Linked DNA regions of Bombyx mori. The protein of the gene in region 1 interacts with the protein of each later gene in a pairwise test. Links are inferred from orthologs where the notes say so. Each region holds a gene or a part of one and is shown in the gene's direction. Other genes may lie near its edges.

Region 1 (4,279 bases):
TGGCTCCTTGAACTCGCCTACACATTCGATGAAGCTAGCATAACCTCTCGTGGCTACTAGTAGATAGGAAACATGAAACATACTACATTTTCGTAATACCTAAGTTAAAGCTTTGACATTATTTCAGGATCCTTTCGACGCAGTACTAGTAATGCGTTTGCATACGAAAAAGAAAGAAATCATGGTGGTCCCGGATCCGTCCTTCAACATAATCGTGTTACAGCAAGCGAGACAAAAGATCAAGAAAAATTCTGAAAAGCAATTCATTTCATGATGTTTAAACATTCACGAGTGTTATAAATACTATTTTTTTTGTTGTACAACATAAAATTTAGGTAACTTCTTTATTTTCTAAATAAAAATACCTATTACCTATTGACTTACCTACTTTATCTTACTTGCCTATTCTCAGAATAAGGATTAGATCGTATTAGCAAATAAATTAAATTTGACAAAAACCTGAAAGTTGAAACGCAATTTAACGATCATTTTAAGAAGCATTTTTTAAGCGATTTTATGACCTGGTAACTAAGACCTTTAGGTCATGTCTTATTTTTATTCTTATTCTTCTATCTTATTTTTTATGAAAAATGATAATATGGAGTGAAATGAAATGAAATGGAAATGATTAATTTGAGACATTAATCAACTGGGATGAGATTAAGCAAAATGAGATGAGATGATATGGGATGAAACATAATCTCAGTAAAATGATGGTCATTTACTGAGACTTTTTCAGTGGACTTTTCATAAAATCATGGTCATAAAATCCCTTTAAAAAAAAAGATACTCTTTGGACTTTTTGGTGGGAACGCGAGGAGTGAAGTTGTGTGATTTGTTTTATTTTGTCTATTTAGTGTTTCTTCGGGTTTAAATGTGTATTAATGGTGGTTTATTAACTGTTTAATATCTGTCAAAGTGCACAAATGTGGGTAAATGAAACAAATCCGCTGGACGTAACTTCTCGAGATCCTCCAAAAGTCCACTGAAAAAATCTTAGTAAATGACTACCATTTTACTGAGATTATATTTCATCCCACATCATCTCATTTAATTTCATTTAATTTCATCTCAGTTGATTAACGTCTCAAATTAATTATCTTCATTTCATTTCACTCCATAATATCATTTTTCATAAAAATATGATTAAAATAAGACATGACTTAAAGGTCTCAGTTACCAGGTCATAAAATCCTTTAAAAAAATCTATCAGAACATTAAAAAAATTGAGGCGTCTTCCATAGATTATACTACACATTAGACAACGCGTCTTTTACACAGTACGCGTAATAATTTACATTGAAAACATTGTGTTACATTAATGTAAAAACGGAAATCAAGTAATATTTAGGGCATAATTTGATTTAATCAAAATGGCAGATAAATACGACAAAAATGGGTATAATAGTGGCGATTTTAAAAGAAATACCACACAAGGTAAACCAGAGGAACTCGATCAAAATGGCGAAGAAGGTATCAAAATAAATGAAAAAGCCGGTGAATACATGCGTGAACTACTTAGCGAGAAGATCAAACTCAATAATTCAAAATTTCCACTATCTATGAAGTTAATTGATCAAGGTATGCTAATTCTTCACTACTTACTTATTTAAAAGAATATTTCGTAACTCTTCTTCACTCCTCAATATTTCGACAACAAAAATCATTGTATTGAGAAGAAAATGTTCCATTTAACAAATAAAAATCCCCTATAAAAATTACTAATAACAGTTCATTGACCTCTCAATGTGACAAAACCATTTGAAATAAATTGAAAAAAAAAAACTTTGCCGCCGTATTGATATTTTGAAATTATTGTTACAGAAGTAACAAAAGTACAGGCTAGTGGTCGTATCACCAAGGACTCAAAATATGTGGATGTGTTCCGTGACAAACCAACCAAAGTCACAGTTAAAGTTCTTGTGCCAATTAAGGAACATCCTAAAGTAAGAAAATTGAATCTAATAATAAGTATATCGTTGCAAATAATTGTCTCAAGCTTACAAAAACAAAACTATTATTTCAAATCAACTCTCATCTAAGAGATATTCGTGTAACAGGAGGCCTTGCACTCAATAATATAAATACCAATAACAAATGAGTTGCATAACATCTTTTATATTTTTATGATGATAAATGGATGTGAGCTGCCTAAAATTGATCTTTGGAAAGCTTAAGACACTGGTGTCATTCCTTGTGGTCGAAAATATAAACTGAAATTTTTTCTTGTTTATTTTTAGAATAAGTCTAAGTATATGAGTACAAGTCTAAAAAAATCATCTCATCAATTTCAAGTTTTTGTTCACTGTCAAAATCTAAGTATTGGTGATGATTTGGTGAATAAACATTTATATTTGAAGCAAAATGATTAAACATTTCAGCTTATTAATCTTATTGTTGCATATGTAGCCAGCCCCAAATTATCAAAAAGGTTACCTTTATCAAAGTGACACTTCATTTGACAATACAGTGCATTTGTAATTTAATACATGCATTTTCCAATTGCAGTTCAACTTTGTGGGAAAACTATTAGGTCCAAAAGGAAACACTATGAAGCAATTACAAGAAGACACACTGTGCAAGATGGCTGTACTCGGCAGGGGCTCAATGAGAGACAGGTGCATAACTCTTTAGATTTGGCATTCTCTGTAACCACATTAAGTCAAGATAATCTTTTAATTTCCATTTTAAATAAATGGAAATCTATAATTGCAGCAACAAATCAAGAAAAGACAAAACCTTTGTGCTGGTAAAGTTGTCGTATACTAGGCATGGGGACCGTGTAGGAGGTTAAGACTCTGGCCAGAAAAAAAAAAAGAAAAAATAGTTGCTTAATGGACAACAGAACTATTTAAAACTACTTGTATAGATAAATCAATGACCAAATAACAAGTGAGATACTGTTGTTGTTGTCCTAAGGTACGGCTGGTACTTACAACCCTCACAAGTTGTCTCCACTTCACCCTATCTTGCACTTGCTCTGTAACATCCCTCCAGGTCAGACTGGCAGTCGTCGCCAAGTGTGTACAGGCCAACAAGGTCTTCTCCTGCCATACTGTTGCTACTCAAAAGAGATACTACATAGAAAAATAGTTAAACATGTCTATTACTCATGAAAACTACAACAGACTTATATTCAGTAGTAAATAGATTTATAATAGTACTAGCTGACCCGGCAGACTTTGTAGTGCCTCAATCGATAAAACAAGCAAAAGGAATCCCTCTGATGGGGGACACATCAAAGGAAAAACAAAATTGTTATTTTTATTTAATTTCGAGCATTTTCATATTTATTTACACCTTTTAAACCTTCTCCGGACTTCCACAAATAATTTAAGATCAAAATTAGCAAAATCGGTCCAGCCGTTCTCGAGTTTTAGCAAGACTAACGAACAGCAATTCATTTTTATATATGAGTCGTCTATTATCAAAGGTGGCAATCTGTGCATTTGGACAAAAATTTTTTATTGATATTTCAATACAGATTGATTTGAATATAATCGTCTCCTTCAAAGAATACGGTTCAAAACCTGCATTAAATAAAGGTTAATACTTAACCTGTTATTTGTCTAAGATGTCGTTCAGAAGAGTTTTGTGACTGCCAATGGAATACAAAGTCAATAATTCGTTTTTCTGATTTACCAATAATTGTCCAAAAGTCACATTGCCGGCTTTGATAATAGTCGACTCATATATAGATAAACAAATCAGTATGATTTTCATTTAGGCAAAAAGAAGAAGAACTCCGCCAGTCATTAGACCCTAAGTACTCTCATCTAGCTGACGATCTTCATGTTGAGATATCGGCCATAGCACCACCAGCAGAGGCTCACGCTCGAATTGCATATGCACTTGCAGAAGTCAAAAAATACTTAGTGCCGGATACAAATGAAACTGTATGGATGTCACAGATGAGAGATATAGATGTCAGAGGTAAGTGTCAAAAAACCTTTTTATTATTCTGAAGAAATAGCTTTAGTAAGAATCCTAATGAAGACTAACACACAATATTTCATTGAATATCATAAAGCCTAGTAACCTAAATGACTGCATATTTGTTTTGCCGAATAATCTGTGTTTAATAATTTGTGTATTACATTTTTTCCCAGTTTTACTATTTACATTATTCCATCTAAAGATTGGAAAAATAGCAATCCAATTTTTAATGTACTCTTTAAAGCATAACTAATTAGTAATAAAAATTGAAAATAATTTGACAAACAGATGAGAAAATAGTCATGATGTTTGTTGTACCTCTACTTAATTGAATATGCAATTT
Region 2 (2,907 bases), on another chromosome or scaffold:
GACCTTGCTGTTACGAACATAGGTGTAAAGATAGACGAAATACTGAAAGAATCAAATGGAACCATAGACGTCATGATGCCGAATTACAAAGATTTCATTTTTGTTATAAAGCGAGATCTAATTGATAGCATCACAGACAAGCCAACAGCTACTTCGGAAACACAGACTGCATCAGGTAATTTTTAAACAAAATTTTTGTAATATAAGTTTTCAGCCTTATAACTGCTCATGCTTTAAGTAGACTTTAGAATATAAAAAGTGTGCAATTTGGCTGATTTTATCACAGCTCCTTCACTATTCTACACACTTGATTTTTAGATAATATTAAAAATTTGGTTAGCACATACTAAACGTAGAACTTAGAGGAAAAAATTAAATTAATGTTTCAAGTTTTTGTTTTAAATTTACTCTTCTTTCATAATAGACTTTTTGTGTCAAGTAGAAAACACATTCATGATTATTTTAGATTGCATGGCACATCTTATAAACATCACAAAGCATTGCCACTCCTATGAAAACATAAGGTTTAAGTTGCAAAACCACTGACCATTTAATTGAGAGACTACTGCGTATCAGAAATAGGCAGAAAGATAATACTCGCCCCTCTCATATTGCCATACAAAAATTTAACAACCATCACAAGCAAATTTAGTATTATGTATTTATGTCGAGTAAAAATAAAAAAATGTGAATATCCTATTTGCCGTGCAAAAGATATTCAGTCACTGCTGTTTCAAGATTATAACATTTCTTGTACAGACGCTTGAACGTGCTTATGGCCCAGTTGATGATAAAGGACTACCGGTGCCTATAGATATATAAATTTCAGTACTGCCACTCACTGTGACACACGATTTTCTAGTTAACGGTCTGTAGTTTTAATACAAAAGCTATCCTACTCTTTAAATCAAAATACGTGATTGTTTTGCGACAGATATAAGCTGGAGGAAATTTACACAATATTATTCACACAAATTGCTCGTGAACACTTGTTAAGTATACTTGGTAGCTGCATACAGGATCTGAATCCTGGCTTGGAGTCACATACTCCGAGAGTACAGTGTGCGTCTGTTCCGTAAGCTCATGACGACTTCAATTAAACTCAATCTTCCATTTTAATTCTGTAAATAACATAAGAAAATAAGTGGTTAAAATTGCTCAATAAAATAAGGGAGCATGTAAAATTAAATGTGCTATTTAATTATTAAATATTCAATAAACAGCTACAGTATGCATTCGACCATTTCGACTCCCATTTCATTTAGTTTTTTTTAAGTTTGACTGTAGTCAGCTTATGGTCCACCTGAAATTCAATGTGCTGATTTACGTGACCGTATTTTTATCTCAAGGTCAAATGTTTAAAAATTTCAGATCATTCAAACACTAGAAGGCCTTCAGATGATCCACTGAGAATTCCTCCCAGACCCAGACCCGGAGTTAATCCCGATTCACAAGATCTATGGTAAAGAATGCTCGGTTTCGGGGGCTAGTGGCTCATCTTTTGTACCCATAATTAATCTAAGGTTGATAGTATGAGTTCGAAATAATATATTTCTATTACAGTTGTTTGACATAATATGGGTATAAAATAGGTTTATACACGAGCTTGCATTTGGCAGCTGTTGAAGATTTATAGTGTTAGAGCAATATTTTCGCATCAGGTGGAACATAAGGGCCAATTTCTCCTTAAGCCATGACCTTCCTTCGTTCGTGAACCTTGTGTGCGCGTCTTAATAGTTTGCTGTATTGTATATTCTGCTCTATGCTTGCGTAGATTCAGCTGCCAATGATTTTAATCGGGTCGTAATACAACCTCTGTTTTGAAACTGTTCCACGTTTTCATCATTACAGATAAAAATTAATTTAAACTCGTTAATACAGACATAGGATACGATTACAATAAGACCTGATTGTAATATAATTACGGATTTTCCTTTATAACCTCTGAAACAATATTTTTTTATAAAATTTTATACATAAGTATATATCGATATGATCTTTATCATCGCAACTTTTTTAGTAAAAACGTGGAAGAATTTTCAAAATTCGGTCTTAGCTTTAATGCCTCATTTCGATTATCGGGGAAAAGTTCATTTATCACGCATTTTCAGAATTTGCTTCTGTATTTAAAAAAAACTTAGAATACTATGGTTTCTCTGCTTTAATCTAATCTGTTTTTGGTATGCAGCCCCCGGGATGTGTACAAACGAGTTTGCCAGTAGTAAATATTAGTTAAATGAGTGACAATTATTAATTTATTTTTCATACAGGGCAGTTCCTCCTGGCCGTAACGTTGGCCATTCAGATCTCGATCCGTTCTCTCCTTTCGGGGGTGGAATGATATTTAACCCGTTTGCTCCACGTCGAGACATTGAGAACCCAGGCCTGGGTGTTCCAGGTGGATTGCCAAGGTTTGTGTAAAAATCTTACATATCTGAGATTTTTCATTAACAACAAGATGAACAGATGAGCATCTAAATCCGCTCACATGACTATGTCAGTTTACCATCAAAAGGCTGTAAACAATAAGTACTCTTGAAGACCTTCTTTGATTTATTTCATACGCTTCTGGTTGACACAGATACCTTTTACAAAAGTTGAACAACCATGAGCCCATAGAGACCAGATCGTATGTGTTACTGGTGTCCGTTCCCTCAGACCGTATTCGTTTGTATTCTAAGAACGATCACCTTCATTATTCTGAGATATGAATACTTGGAGACAGAAATAGACAGGATTGTGTAAGCCACTAAAGCGGGCTTACAATAACTACACCTACTTTTAGTAAGCACCTCTTATGCAAATCGTATTAAGTCGTCGTGGCCTAAAGGATAAGACGTCCGGTGCATTCGTATGTAGCGATGCACCGGCGTTCGAATCCCGCAGGCGGTTACCAATTTTTCTAAT

The links.
Region 2: the proteins of KH domain-containing, RNA-binding, signal transduction-associated protein 3 (region 1) and proteasome inhibitor PI31 subunit interact in a two-hybrid assay, tested with the Homo sapiens proteins (2 studies listed by BioGRID and IntAct). The link is inferred for Bombyx mori from reciprocal best matches to the Homo sapiens genes KHDRBS3 and PSMF1.

What each region holds. Positions count from the first base shown.
Region 1 is NC_085126.1:9,712,335-9,716,613, reverse strand, and holds the start of KH domain-containing, RNA-binding, signal transduction-associated protein 3, read left to right. Parts: upstream 1-1,211; 5' UTR 1,212-1,373; coding exon 1,374-1,581; intron 1,582-1,824; coding exon 1,825-1,946; intron 1,947-2,508; coding exon 2,509-2,618; intron 2,619-3,727; coding exon 3,728-3,933; intron 3,934-4,279. Other genes in the region: dynein light chain roadblock-type 1, read left to right, coding at 128-274. UniProt on the Homo sapiens protein: RNA-binding protein that plays a role in the regulation of alternative splicing and influences mRNA splice site selection and exon inclusion. Binds preferentially to the 5'-[AU]UAAA-3' motif in vitro.
Region 2 is NC_085111.1:15,245,492-15,248,398, forward strand, and holds part of proteasome inhibitor PI31 subunit, read left to right. Parts: coding exon 1-175; intron 176-1,371; coding exon 1,372-1,462; intron 1,463-2,270; coding exon 2,271-2,411; intron 2,412-2,907. UniProt on the Homo sapiens protein: Plays an important role in control of proteasome function. Inhibits the hydrolysis of protein and peptide substrates by the 20S proteasome. Also inhibits the activation of the proteasome by the proteasome regulatory proteins PA700 and PA28.